Linked DNA regions of Tamandua tetradactyla. The protein of the gene in region 1 purifies or fractionates together with the protein of each later gene. This does not show direct contact. Links are inferred from orthologs where the notes say so. Each region holds a gene or a part of one and is shown on either strand. Other genes may lie near its edges. The genes, in order: TCEAL1 and KDM3A.

Region 1 (7,914 bases):
CTACAGTGGTCAAAACAGCATGGTACTGGCATAAAGGTAAATATACTGACCAATGGAATAGAATAGAATGTTCCGATATAGACCCTCTCATCTATGGACAATTGATCTTTGATAAGGCAGTCAATCCAACTAACCTGGGACAGAACAGTCTCTTCAATAAATGGTGCTTAGGGAACTGGATATCCATATGCAAAAGAATGAAAGAGGATCCATATCTCACACCCTATGCAAAAATTAACTCAAAATGGATCAAAGACCTAAACATTAGATCTAAGACCACAAAACTGTCACAAGAAAATGTAGGGAAATATCTTATAAATCTTATACTAGGAGGCAGTTTCTTAGACTTTATACCCAAAGCAAGAGCATTGAAGAAAGAAATAAATAAATGGGAACTTCTCAAAATTAAACACTTTTGCGCATCAAAGAACTTCGTCAAGAAAGTAAAAAGACAGCCTACACAATGGGAGACAATATTTGGAAATGATATATCAGATAAAGGTCTAGTATCCAGAATATATAAAGAGACTGTTCAACTCAACAACAAAAAGACAGACAACTGAATTACAAAATGGGCAAAAGACTTGAACAGACACTTCTCAGAGGAGGAAATACAAATGGCCAAAAGGCACCTGAAAAGAAGCTCAACTTCCCTGGTTACTAGAGTAATGCAAATCAAAACCACAATGAGATATCATCTCACACCCACCAGAATGGCCATTATCAATAAAACAGAAAATGACAAGTGCTGGAGAGGATGTGGAGAAAGAGGCACAGTTATCCACTGTTGGTGGGAATGTCAAATTGTACAACCACTGTGGAAGGCAGTTTGGCATTTCCTCAGGAAGCTATGTATAGAATTGCCATATGACCTAGCAATACCACTGCTAGGTATCTACTCAGAGGTCATGAGGGCAAGGACACAAACAGACATTTGCACACCAGTGTTTATAGCAGCATTATTTACAACTTTTACCAAGAGATGGAAACAGCCAAAATGTCCATCAACAGATGAGTGGCTAAACAAACTGTGGTATATACATACAATGGAATATTATGCTGCTGTAAGACAGAATGAAGTTATGAAGTATGTAACAACATGGATGGACCTTAAGGACATCATGCTGAGTGAGATTAGCCAGAAACAAAAGGATAAATACTGTATGGTCTCACTGACATGAACTGACATTAGTGAATAAACTTGGAGAATTTCATTGGTAACAGAGACCATTAGGAGATAGAAATAGAGTAAGATATTGGGTAATTGGAGCTGAAGGATACAGATTGTTCAACAGGACTGACTGTAAAATCTCAGAAATGGATAGCATAATACTACCTAAATGGAATACAATTATGTTAAAACACTGAATGAAGCTGAATGTGAGAATGATAGAGGGAAGAGTGCTGGGGGCACAAATGAAATCAGAAAGAAGGACGATAAAGACTGAGATGGTATAATGTAGGAATGCCTAGAGTGTATAATGATAGTGAGTAAATGTACAAATTTAAAAAATGTTTTTGTATGAGGAAGAACAAAGGTATGTCATTACTGCAGGGTGTTGAAAACAGATGGTAATTAATATTTTAAAATTTTAACTTATTGGTGAGACTAAAGCAAAAAAAATGTTTATTTGGTACAAAATTTATATTTGACTAGGGCATTTCCTAATATAACTTATGTAGACAGCTTAGTTGAATACCATAAGTACATGGTACCTTGAGTAGGGCATGAGATTTTGTTGGATTGTCCAAAGTGATGCCCCAATAAATCCCAGAGTTATTTGAACAGTGAATAAAAGAGTATTTGTAAAGTCCCCTTCGGGGAATGGTGAGAAATGGGGAAAATTCAACCTCCCCAAGTTGAATTCTTGATATTCTCACAAGCAGTGCAGACAACCAAAGCTATAGGCTGAGCCCCCAATCTTGGGGTTTGTTCATATGAAACTTAACCCCACAAAGGATAGGTCAAGCCTACTTAAAATTAGGCATAAGTGTCACCCCCAAGAGAACCTCTTTTGTTGCTCAGATGTGGCCTCTCTCTCCAGTCAATACAACAAGCAAACTCACTGCCCTCCCCATGTCTACATGGGACATGACTCCCAGGGATGTAGACCTTCCTGGCAACGTGGGACAGAAATCCTAAAATGAGCTGAGACTCAGCATCAAGGGATTGAGAAAACCTTCTCAACCAAAAGAGAAAGAGCAAAATGAGAAAAAAGAAAGTGTCAATGGCTGAGAGATTCCAGAGTCGAGAGATTATCCGGGAGGTTATTCTTACTCATTAAATAGATATTACCTTGTCAGTCAAGATGTAATGGAAGGCTGGAGGGAACTGCCTGAAAATGTCCAGCTGTGTTCCAGTAGCTATGTTTCTTGAAGATGATTGTATAATGATACAGCTTTCACAATGTGACTGTGTGATTGTGAAAACCTTGTATCTGATATTCCTTTTATCTACCTTATCAATAGATGAGTAAAACATATGGAATAAAAATAAATAATAGGGGGAACAAATGTTAAAATAAATTTAGATTGAAATGCAAGTGATCAATGAAAGGGAGGGGCAAGGCATATGATACGTATGAATTTTTTTCTGTTGTCTTTTTATTTCTTTTTCTAAATTGATGCAAATGTTCTAAAAAATGATTGTGATATATGAATTACTGATTACATATGTAGAACGGAATGATCATAAGTTAGGAATATTTGCATTTGTTTGTTGTTATATATATATATTTTTTAAATTATTTTAAAAATTGAAATCAATTACAGAACTGTATTGACAGCTGAATATATGAAACAAAGATTTGGGGTGTTTCAGTTGAGTGTAATTTAAACTGCATTCAACTGTGTGATATTGCATCCACAAAATCTACTATGATGCTAGGATATATCAATAGTTGAATAGCATCTATTCAAGAATGAAGGAGAGGATAGTATAACTTTATTGTACATTAGGGAGAATATACAGTATTTCAGAGAAATTTACAATTTAATGAGCATGTAGGATTGTGAGTAACTTTGGAAAAATGTATTTTTTCAGATACAGCTGAAATAACTGGGGAGATTAAACCTCCAAAAAAATGTCTTTGTGAAAACATAATTGTTTAAGGATTACATGAGATAACACTGAAAACACATACCACAATGTATGACATAACTAAGTCTCAATTCATATTAGTAATGTTATTAGCCCAGTGTCATACCCTTATTATTATTATTACAGCTAATGCTTATAGAGTGCATTCCATGTGCTAGGCACTATTCCAGGTCCTTAACATATATTGACTCATTTATTCCTCTTACCAATACTGTGAGGTAGGTACTATTATTGGCTCCAATTTTGTAGATGAGGAAGTTGAGTCATGAAAAGAATTGGTAGATTGCGTTATGTGTGTCATGGATGGGAAGGGGCCAGAATGAAGACATAAACTCTGGCAGTTTCAGACTATCAGGGGTAAAATGTACTTTTATTATTTTATACTTGTTCTGAACTACTCCAGAGGGCAGAAACAGGACCAATGTGTGTAAACTACTGGGAGACAGATTTCAGTTTAGTAGAAGAGAAAAAAACTCCGAATGATCACAATTATCTGTAATTTCAAAAGGATGTCTTATAAGGTACTGAGTTCTCCCTCAAAGAATATCAAAAAGAAAAAAAAAAGAAGAGAAATTAGTAAATGAATGAAATGGGACTCCTCTTGGAAAGAAACTGTAACCATGAGAAACCCAGCCCTTGTTGAAGAATAACAAAGGTATAGTGAAACTTGGCTTTAAAGACAAACATCATCAAAAAAAAAAACAAGAAAAAGGAACATGAAAAAACAAATAATAAATTTAAAAAGACAAGCATCACTGGAAAATTGAATATTAAAACAGTGATGGGAAAGATATAAAGGTGAACTAATGTCTGTCTAGCTGCTATCTCAACACAAAGTAAATTAGATACCAGAGAAAAGCATCAAAAAGTTCTTAAAACAGGAAACTTCATGTACAAATTTCTGGTTTTGAAACTTATTAGACAGTCTGGATTTGATAAAAAAGAAAAACCCAGTATTATCAGAGATCTGATGGTCACTGGCCCTGAAAGTGTACGACATGGAGAAAAGAAGAGGGGTAGCCTGCTCCCTGTGAGAAAGAGTAACTGCTTGAGATGGTAGTATCCAAGCTGATGTGAGTAAGTGAGAGACAGGCATGGGGTCAAAGATCATTAAAAATCCACTAGATTCAAAAATATATACTTGTAGTAACAATGGAGAATGTTAGCATGATTTTAATCCTATTACTCCGTGTGTGGTCAACAAAATGATTGCATAGTACAATACTGAATGTCCTCTGTGCCTCATCTATCTTTTTGGGTCAGGCAGTGCCAGGATTCTAATATTTGTTGATTTAATTCATTATTAATACAAACTTTCTTGACCTGCAGCACCAAAAGGAGGCTAGTTAAGAACTTAAGAGTTTCAGCAAAATCTTTCATCTGTTGTGAATGATTGTTTACTAGTTGCATGTTTTAAAATAATAATGCCATGTTCTCCACCAAGATCTCTCCTGTTTCAGATAACAAATGGATTTTCAGGACTATTTGAACTTAGACAAAAGTATATTTTGATTTATAAAAATCAAAGTATTCATCGTTTTTAGATTTACACCCTTTACAGACTTAACTCTTTCTAGAGTATTTTTATCAGAGTATATTTTAAATGAAAAACATAATTTATTTTGCTCTGTATCAAAAATTCTAGATGCAAAGAGCTGAAAGATTAGACTGCATCTTCTATTAGTGATGGCTCAAAGAAGCAAAACATAGATGTCAAGGAAAAGTGAAAGACTGTCACGAAAATAACAAGAAGAGGTGAAAACATTATGATAGAGCCTAAATGGACACGATGGAGTTATGGATATCGATTAAAACTGGGAGAGAAGGGAGTTAATATTGATTCATGAAGGTAAAATAGTCACATTTCAGTGTAGCATCTGGGCTGCGGGGGAAATAGTGGGCCTTGGTAGCTGAGGAAGGGGGGGTATGTGGGAAGAGAGGTGGTATTAGAGGAAGCAGCTGAGAGGAAAAGCAGTAAATCCCAAGATTACACGCTAGCGGTCTCGGGTAACAGAGAAAGGCAAATATAAACAAAGAGAGGTGAGTGACAATGCTTTGTGTGTTCAGCTGGCTGCAGCAGCACGGCCCTGGGTCAAAGCCCTGTAAGTGGGGATCAGAGCTCTGCGGTGACGCGCGGCTCTCACGTGACCAGGAGCCTAAGTCTGCCCAAGTCGCTCTCGTCCTGGTCCTATTTGCCTGTCCAGACACCATCTCCCCATTGCCCTCTGGTCGTGGGGAAAAGCAGAAGGAAGTAAGTTCCCTCGATACCCTTAAATCGGTGTGAGAGTCGATGCTGCCTAGTAACCCGTGGGATACCGACAGCAGAGAGCTCAGGCCTTTTCCCTACGCTTCAGACCCGCCCCCCGCGTCCATATTTAGGTGCAGAAAATGGCGTTCTTGGGGTGGGGTGGAGAGGTGAGTGGGTCCCTGAGGAGGGACACACAGACACTTAGAAATAGGTTCTAAATAAGCCTTCTCATCAACTTCCCGCCTGAGAAAAAGTGACGCTTACTGCGAGGTGTGGGGCTGGGGTGGAGAGGACGAGACTTGGTATGGAGTAAGTGGGGCGAGAGAGGTGAACACGAAGCCAGAGACACCGGCCTGGGGGCGAATGCAGCGAGTGCCCAGAGAAGGGCGTGTGCCAATCAGTCCGTCCGTTCTCCCCACACCCCGCTCCCTACCCTGTCTTGCGTCTGTCTGCAGGTGGGCACGTCACAGCAGTGCACCTCAAGGAGAGGTCGGCGAGGAGCAAACCGCCAGGAGAGGTCCAGGTCGGAGGAGGGATGGGCACTGGAGGGGGACACGGGTGCGGGGGCTGACGCGGAACTGAATGGAGTCTGCGGGCCCCGTCGCCCCGCCCCTATCACTGCGGGAGAGGTCTACGGAAAGGCCTGCTGGGAAAATGGTGGGCTTTGGGGAGTCAGGAGGAAACAGGGCGCCAGAGAGAGAGAGAGAGAGAGAGAGAGAGAGACACGGGCCCGCAGAAGCAGACAAAGCCTCTCAGTGATTATAGATTTGAGGTACTGGGCCCCGAATCGAGAAAAGGCAGATATTGGAAGCCATAGCCGGGATTTTGGCCCATCCACCAGGTACGTGACTTTACTTTGCCTTTCTTGTCTCCTAAGAATAACTGCTTAAAGGAGAGCATTCTCAACATGGAAAAACCATGCAAAGAAAATGAAGAACAGCCACCGAGCACGCCAAAGATCAATGAGGAGCAGCCTCCTGTGGAGCACCCTCCCACAAAGCACTCCCCGGAGGAACAATCTTCGGAGGAGCAATCCTCAGATGAGGAGTTCTTTCCGGAGGAACTCCTTCCTGAGCTCCTTCCTGACATGCTACTTTCTGAGGAGCGCCCTCCTCAGGAGAGCCTTTCTAGGAAGTACCTTTTTGAGGAGCGCCCTCCAATGGAGCAGCCTCCTTGTGGAGTAGGAAAACATAAGCTAGAAGAAGGAAGTTTTAAAGAAAGGCTGGCGCGTTCTCGCCCACAGCTGAGAGGGGACATACATGGCAGGAATTTAACCAATGAAGAGATGATAAAGGCAGCAGATGACATGGAAGAGATGAAAAGAGTAAGAAACAAACTGATGATAATGCATTGGAAGGCAAAACGAAACCGTCCTTATCCTATTTAATGTTGTATTATGCCTTGAATAGTGTTTTATCTGATATTAGTATTGCCACCTGAACTTTATGTTTGCATTTTCTTATAGACTGGTTCCCATCTTAATTTTAACTTTGTGCGTGCTTTGTTTTAGGTATTTCTCTTGTAACTGGCATACAACTTTTTATTCTCCTATAGTCTACACGTCTCCCTCTTTCCAACATGAATTTCACCTATATGCATGGGGAAATGTACTTTATATAGTAAAGTGAAAACAACAGTTTTCAAAAAGTATATATAGTATCCCATCTTTGTAAAAAGTACTTGTATATTTATATATTAACCTGCAAAGAAAAAACTGAATGTATATACACCAGAAGCTTAACAATGGCTATCTGTGTTAAATAATAGGTATTTTATTTTGTTTTTTATTTTTACTGTATATGAATTTGTTAGTTTTTCAAGATGAACTTGTATCACATGCTCAAAAAAACAACACAATGATATAATGAAAATATGTGAAGCAATAAAAAACTCATTCAGCTCATATGGCAAATGGGGGACTTAATAAATGCTTGTAAGAACTTAAAAAAAGAAAAAATATATCCCAAGTTTCTTCTGAATTTCTTAAGTAGAAATATGAGCCAGGTATTTATTACATGTTTAAGGGTCGGTCATTTCCCAGCTAAGTAGGAGTAATACCTGCCTTACTGAGCTGTTGTGGACCCAAATGAGATAAAGATTTTGTGACCTGTGCTTGTCTCTTTCCCCCACTTGCACATACAGGACTTCAAGCCCTATAGATTCCCTTCAGACATAAGGGATAGTAAAGAGGTCTCACTAGTGCTCACAAACAGCTCCTGTGAGACTCCAAGTGAGTATCACATTCTGTTCCTTTTCTGTTCCGCTGTTCCCTTAAATACTGCCATATCTGATAGGCACAGCTGACTATCAAACAGAAACATGCCAAAGTACTTGGTAAGACTGTGCAAACACACACACACATATTTATCAGATATTATAATTTGTCCATTAAACTACCTTTATAAAACCTAAGTTTTTTTGTTGATCCTGATAATTCTAGAAACACAGGTGGTAGTTACTTTTTTTAAAGTTATTACTCCGTTAAGATCCCTAAGTTCTTGAATCTATATCCTTGTTTAACTGGAAAAGCTTCATTAATTGTGTTCACTTCTCTAGAAAGTGTGGT
Region 2 (7,709 bases), on another chromosome or scaffold:
TTTCTTTTCCTGAATGGCTAATTAATAGACCCAGCAGCATATATTGAAAAGTATACTCTTCACACTTACTGGAAATGTTGTATTAATTATAATCCAATTTCTCATATACACATGGATCTGTCTCCATATTATCTTAACTATTTCCATACTTCTTTCTTGATTCATTCATTCATTGTAATTATCATTTAATCTGGGGAGAACTGACATCTTTACTTTATCAAGTCATTCCATATAAAGAGATGGAATGTCTTAAATCTTTTTACATGACAGTAAAGTCATAGTTTTTTTCATGAGTTTTGTTCATTTCTTGAACTTATTCTTAGTTGTTCTGTAGCTTTTATTATCAGATACGGTTTCTCTTTTTTTCTATTGACTGTCATGATCGAGGCTCATTAAAGAAGGATTCTTGTTTGTTAATCTTTTATGGCACCACCCTTGACTCACGTACTAGGTCTAATAATTCATCAATAGTGGCCCTAAATTACCTACAAATTCTGTGGAATTTTTCCCTCCATTCCAACGTTTATATTTTATTATTTATTTTGCTTGTCTTATTGTATTAGCAATTAACCTCCACTATAGTTTGATGGCAGTGACATCATTGCATATCTGGATCTCGCTCCTGACTTCAGTGGGAATCCTTCTAAATTTTTACAATTAAGTATGACATTTAAGTATATTTCTGATAGACATTCTTTACAAAATTATGGTAGTTTCCTTCTATTCATAGTCTGCTAGGAGTATTTTGTAACGAATGATGAAAGTAAAACTTTACAAGTGCTTTTCTTTTTTTTTTTTACAGCTACTGAGATAATATACATCTTCTCCTTTAATCTGTTAATGTAGTTAAATGCAGTAATAGGATTTTAAAATTAATTTTAAATTTCAAAAGTAATATGTAAACCTATTCATGTTATAAGAATGAATTACATATAAAGTTAACACATTTTTGACTAATACCCTCAATTCTAATATGCATCCTCCAGTTATCATCATTATGAGTTTTAATGTTTCATAGAAAATATACACTATTGTTTTGTTAGTGTATTTTAAAACAGCACTCAATTGAATTTTCATTTTCATTCAAAATGTGTTTCGGTGATCTCTCCTTATTGGTACATCTAAATATTTCATTCCTTTTCAAATACTCTAACATTCAATATTACATCATGTAAATACAGATATTATTGTATTTATTCATTCCCTAATCAAAAAATTTTTTCACAACAAACAATGCTGAAATGAATAACCTTGTAGTTGTCTCCTAGTTCATATGTTTTCTAAGACAGATATCTTACATTCTTAGCTTTCTAGGAAGTTTAAAAATATTTTTAAAATCATGAATGGGTGATGAATGTAAATACGTACTCTTAATACTTCTGGTTTTCTAAGAAATTTAGAAACACTTTTAAAATCACAAACAGGTGTTCAATGCAAGTGCATACACTTCCACTAAATGAACATACTTTTCTTTTAAGCTGTGAAATAGTGAATTATAGTAATTCTTAATCTTGAAATATCCTTATATTCATAGGATAATCCTTATTCATCATTGTGGTTACTTCAAAAATATACTGCTGGACTTGCTGATGTTTTATAAGATTTTTTCTTCTATGTCCATAAGTGTAATTGAAGTATAGGTTTCCTTTCTAGTGCTCTCTTGGTTTAGATTTGGTAATCAGTTTGGGTAGTTTTATAAAATGTATTGGCTAGCTTTCATTTTATTTTTTGTGCCTAGAGAATTACTCTGTTATATGAGCTACACACCAAACTTCATGTTTAGTATATTAACAAACAAAACATTGGTTCTCTATGAGTCATAATAAAAAAATACCTGTTATAACAATCTGGAAAAGGTAAAATCAAAATCATAATCTACAGCAAATATCTTACAAAGAAGGAATCAGTAAAAGTTAATGCAGTGCAGCTTTAAGGACGAAAATCATCACAGGAATCTATACTAAACACTGTTATCACTTGAGACTACTTGTGAAGCTGAGGAAGAGGAATGCCTCAATTCACACTGAACCAAGTACTGTGTTCTGAAACAAGCTAAAATTTCCTTAAACAAAAAACAGCATTTGCTGATTTTCAGCTTTTATCACACAATACTGATACTACTGAGAAAAGAAGGCATGCACACAGTATCAAAAGATTTAATGTACATGACAAGAAATACACTAAAAATAATTGTTACAAAAGCAAACTTCAGGAAGCTATAAACATGAAAGAACCATTTGTTTCCCTACATAGCAGTCTGAAATAAATCCAAAGAGCAGTATAAAGACCACTGAAATTCATTAGTTCAACGAGTGAACAAAATGACATATTTTAAAACTCAATGGAAAAAGCTACTAATTAATACTTTAGATTTTTTTTTCTTACAAGTTTTGTGGTTTATACTCAAAGTTCAACCTACATTTAACATTTTTAAGTTCAGTCATGCCAAAAGTTTTGACTTGCTTTCTACCTCTCCTAAGTTCTGGTACTGCGCATACACCAGAGGAATTATACGTTCCTTGAAGTTTGGTCGAATGTGTTCCTTAACAATTTTTTTTTTTAGATTAATAGTTAATTACCCAATTTAAGTCTTCCACATCTTCACTTATTTAAAAAATCTACTTGACTTTCCCTATTTCTGGGGCAAATGTATTTAAGTTTTCTACTCTTACTATAAATTTGTTAAAAGTTTTCTCACAGTTCCAATAGTTTAGTCTTAAGTTAGGCTAAACTATGTTGTTAGAGTCATAATAGCTCAGAAGTTAATAGTATCTTCACGGACTTTATATTTTCTTAACATAAATCCTTTTCTCTTTTGATGCTATTTGCAACTACTTATATTAATTTACTATACTGATTTCCTTTTACCATAATTTAATTAGTAAAACTCCTTTTTTTCCTCAATATTTTCAAGCTTATGTTTCTGTAGGAGTGTTGTTTGGAATCAATTTATAGTTTGGATTTCGTTTTTTATTCAAGCTTTAAAACTTTTGAGTAAAATTAACCCATTTATACTTATTGTAAACATTGATGTTTGCACTTAACTCCCCCCTTCATTCTTTCTATTGACAATATGTCTGGTGTTTTATTTTCCTTCTCCTCATTACTGCATTTTGTTGGATTGGATAGGTTTATTTTTCTATTTCCCCCATTTTTAATGATGTGTAAATCCAATTTAATTCTTCTAGAGTTCAATCTTAACTCTAAAAAATTTCTTCATGTTGCATATTCAAAGCATGTAGAGTTAAAATCAACATGTGGTATTAATTTGCACTGCGATCCCTTGAATAATTTTCTGAACTCTTTCAGATGATCAGTTTTCACACCATAAAACTGGAAACACTAGCACTTCATTCGTTATTTTGAGGATTAAATGTGATGCTATGTCAGGCTCAACGTCTCTATAAAACAATAAGTCTTCAATTCATTCCATGTCTTCTTCATTATTCCACAAAAAAACTTGAGGTCCAAAACACAGAATCAGTTCTTACCTCCTTTGTCCTTCAAAGTCACCTCCTTTTCACCTTTCATATCTCTTCCATCATTATTGCCTTCATCTAGTCTTTCAATTTCTTTGTAAATCTCAGAAAATGATTTCATTCCCCCTTTTGTTTTAAAAAAAACCTTTCTATATTGTACCCACCGACCTCTTTTGCTCTTAGTGAACATCATTTCCCGATGCTTCCACGCCTTTCTTCATCTTCCTTCAAAATGGCGGACTTCAGACGTTCCACGAGCAACAGCACGTGCGCCTGCGCCTCCCGCGGCCATCTCGACCAGCAGGCCCAGCGCCCCCTTCCGCTTCGCGCCTGCGCAGGAGCCCCGAAACGCCGTCGCTCCTCCCCCGGGTTGAGTACGCCTGAAACCGCACGTCCCCGTCCTTCCCTCCCCCTCAGACTTCGCACCGCCCTCACCCTTTCCTGTGAGATTCTTCCGCATATGGCAGACCCATTTTGGTTGACAGCCTGCGCACTCGGAGAACGATCCAATAGGGACCTACGGCCAGGTTTCGACACTCAAGTCTTGTTTGTGCGCCACGGCGATCTTCCTCAGGGTCCCAAAGTTGATAACTGATTTGCGGGACTTTTTTGCATCTCGTGAGGCAGCAAACGGGAAGAATGGGACTGTGGCGGAGGGATCTCTCGCTCGGGTTTTGCGTACTTCAACTAATGGGGGTCGCCCTGGAGTCGGAAGGGGGAGGGGAAAGGGCGGGGCCGCCAAGGAATTGTTTTTTTCTGTCGCCCCTCCCTCGCCAGGCCGGCCAATGGTGATGAGCTGTCTTCCTACGGGCCCCGCCCAGCGGCCCCCGGCAAGCCAATGAGCCGCGGCAGCGGCTCTGAGGGGGCGGGTCCGGGGGCCGTGCGCGTCCTGCGAGGCCGGGGCACCAAGTCGGCTGGAGTCTGCGGGCGGTTGCGAGCGGCTGCGCCGCGGGTGACTCAGGAGGCGGGAGGCGGGGTGAGGCACCGCGGCCTCGGTCGGGGAAGGGCGGCGGCGGCAGGGAGGCAGGCCGGCAGGCCGTGGCAGAGGGCGCCTGGGGGCCGGGAGGGGCGCGGGCGAGCGCGGGGTGCCTGGGGCGGTGACGACCCGGCCCTCCCTCAGAAGGCGCCTCCGCCCCGGGTGAGGGGCGAGCCCCTGGAAATTCACTTGAGTCGCAAGCCGGGCTCCCTTCACTCCCTCGGCGCTCAGGCTTCAGATTTGGGCGAAGCGAAACTTGGGCGAGCGCGGGGGCGCAGCTTCGGGGTCCGCGTGTTCGGGGGGGAGGGGGCCGGGGACTCCCGGGCCCCCGCGTCCGGCCGCCGCCCGCGCTTGCGTTCCTGGCGCCGGGCTCGAGCGGCCGCTCCCGTCTCACGCCTCTTCGCGTGTCGCAGGCGACCCTCCCCGCGAGCCGGGACGATGGTGCTGACGCTCGGGGAGGGCGGCCCGGCGCTGGTGGGGAAGCGTTTCCTGAGCCTGAGCGCGGCCGAAGGCGGCTCCGACCGCTGGGACGTGGAGCGCGTCGCCGAGTGGCCCTGGCTCTCGGGCACCATCCGGGCCGTGTCCCACACGGACGTCACCAAGAAGGACCTGAAGGTAACCCCTCGGGACGCCCCCTGCGACTGCCCCCTACCCGTTCTGAAAGTTGGCGTGATCCGAGGGTGCCGAAAACCAGACCCTGGTGGGACTGCACAGCGCCGGCACTGTTGGATGATGGGTTCGAGGTGGTGCAAACGCGCTCGATTATCGCTCCAAAGGTGGGGTAATTGGGAGAATTAAGGTGGGCAAGTGGATGACGACTAAAATCATGGTAAGAACAGGGAGGGTAGTGGCTTGGAAGGGTTTTCAGTTGTTTGGTATGGTTGGTTGGTTACACTTAATTTCTTGTTCAACTTTTTAAACTTTGAGGCTTGTTAGAAATGAAGCGGGAAGGTAGAGGGAGGAGCTTATTCGTGTTTTTGGCGAATTAGGGTGTGTGTGTGTCCGTAGATGGTGGGTCAGGTCAGGAGTGGGTTCCTGATGCTACGGGATGGGGTCTGTGGGTGGGTGTGGAAGATGACCACATCTGTAAGGATGGGGTGGAGCTGCCCCATATATGGTGTATTGGAGGAAGGGCCTCAAAATATTCCACTTGGGTGTATGGGGAGGGATGGGGGGGGGGGATGGGACCTAGTACAGCCAGTGATTTTTAATCAGAATGACACTCCGAACCATTTTCAGTCTGATCTTTTCAAAGAGAGTTGAATTCCGATTTACTCCCTAACCCATCAATGTGAAAACGTTGTCTGGGTACAACCAGAGAAGAAGCCACTGTACCAACAAAGACTCCTTTGTGCAAAAAATAACCCCCCAAAATGCTCCCTCACAAAGACTGTGCTAGTGATAACTTGAAGGAAGCTTGACAGAATGGAAGATATTTCCTCTCTGGGTAGTAAATATCTTGTTTTCTGTACCTTCATTTGGTAATCATCTTTGTTTTTTCTTGAAAACTGCTCAAATACGGGAAGCAAGTTTTGGTGTTAGCAGTCAATATGTGTTGATTTCTGAAACATAAGTTAATTTTAACACTTTCAGGGTGACAGTTCATGCCCAAACCAGCAAGGTGTTGTGGGAAGAGGGATGTGTGGTTCTATTTTTGAACTTTGCAGTGTACCTTGTGTTCATGATTAAAAGGAGTGACGATCGAGCACCTTAACCGCATGCCAGGAGTCATGTGAACATATCATAGCCATCATCTTTTTGAATCCTTCCAGCATGTCTTTGGGAGTAGGGAATAATATTGCTCCTGTTTGACAGACGGAAGTACCCAAGCTGCCCAAGCTCAAATACCTAGGAATTGGGATATCCTATATGATATCCCAGGAAGTTTGGACTCCAGGAGCCATCCTTTTCAATCCCAGCCTGTATTACTGAGGTTGTACCACAGAAGGGCTTTTGTCATACATTGTAAAGTTCGGTTTTCTCCTTCCTACTTATTCTTCTAGCAAACTTGGACATTTAGATAGTGTGTAGTGTGGTTCAGGGATAACCAGTCTCTCTCCTTTGGTCAGTGACCTTTCTACAAAAAGTAGCCTTTTGAGTATTAGATTTCAGTCATCATTGTTGTGGCTTGTTTCACCTACCAAGTACAGGTTTCTTTAGAGCATTTGTTTTTATCAGATTTGACTGGAAACAAGGTTTGATTTAGACTTTGTAGTTTTTAGTTCTTTGGTAGATGAGAGACTTGGTGTTCCCTTCCCTGACAATGATTGAGGGCCTTTTCGGCTAGATAGGCAATCTGAGAGGTTCTTACGCAGGTATTCTTTTTAATCTTTATGCTCTCATTTCCCAAACTTTGAGGTAGTGGTGGTATCCTTATTTGCAAAATGAGGAAATAGATTTAGGAAAAGGAGTCTTGTCTGGAATTTCACAATTGGCCTCTAAGTGATTAAGGCAGGATTTGCAACTCTCGAGACACATGGCTTTGTCTTTACTGCACTAAGATGACTAGTGTAGAAGTAGCAGATATTTCAATTCATTAATAATTTCAACTGTATTTGATTTTTTTTACCTTATTTGTAGATTTCATAACTCAGCACCAGATGTACTCTTTTTAGCAGTCATAAGTTATTGCTACATTGAAGATGAAGTAATTGCCTTATTGTGTTAACAAAAAAAAAGTAGGATTATAAAACACAGATCCAATTTTACTTGGTGAGGTTTAGGCAGGCTTACACCTGGGTTTATGGATGATGAGGTTGTTTGGGAGTGGAGCATGGTGCTAAGTTGAAGGTGAATAAATAAATAGAATTGGAGAAGTGTGAAATGTTCTAGTACCAGTATAAGTTTGTCTAGGCTGGCTGGCTTAGTTGACTGAGGATGATACTAATGAGGCCAAGGCTTGTTAAATCTGCTTTACTTTGAGAGTGACTTTGTAACTTTGAGAGTTACTTTGTAACTTGATAAAAAGACAATATATCTAGTAGTTTGTTACAAGTTAAGATGGAGGCATTCTAATTATAGATAGTAATTATTAAATGCTTATTATGTAGCAAGTAGTAACTATAGTTCACAGTATATTTTTGGTGGTTATCTACATTTTTTAGCGGCAGAAATTGAAGCCTCAAAAAGTTAAATAACTTGCTCCTAAGAATGTCTTCAGAACTCGGTAAACACTAGGCTTTAATTTTAATATTCAAGTAGAGTGAAGTTAGAGCCCTTTATTTTGCTATTTCCCCAGCACCTGGAACAGCCCT

The links.
Region 2: the proteins of TCEAL1 (region 1) and KDM3A purify together in Homo sapiens (affinity purification with mass spectrometry; 3 studies listed by BioGRID and IntAct, counting the BioPlex papers as one, with this or other methods). This does not show direct contact. The link is inferred for Tamandua tetradactyla from reciprocal best matches to the Homo sapiens genes TCEAL1 and KDM3A.

Annotation. Positions count from the first base shown.
Region 1 is NC_135353.1:69,976,827-69,984,740, forward strand, and holds TCEAL1 (transcription elongation factor A protein-like 1), read left to right. Parts: upstream 1-5,165; 5' UTR 5,166-5,351; intron 5,352-5,379; exon of another isoform or gene 5,380-5,515; intron 5,516-5,781; exon of another isoform or gene 5,782-5,921; intron 5,922-6,225; 5' UTR 6,226-6,255; coding exon 6,256-6,735; 3' UTR 6,736-7,251; downstream 7,252-7,914.
Region 2 is NC_135343.1:60,836,014-60,843,722, reverse strand, and holds the start of KDM3A (lysine-specific demethylase 3A), read left to right. Parts: upstream 1-4,455; intron 4,456-4,868; 5' UTR 4,869-4,893; coding exon 4,894-5,070; intron 5,071-5,105; exon of another isoform or gene 5,106-5,266; coding exon of another isoform or gene 5,267-5,284; intron 5,285-7,709. UniProt on the Homo sapiens protein: Histone demethylase that specifically demethylates 'Lys-9' of histone H3, thereby playing a central role in histone code.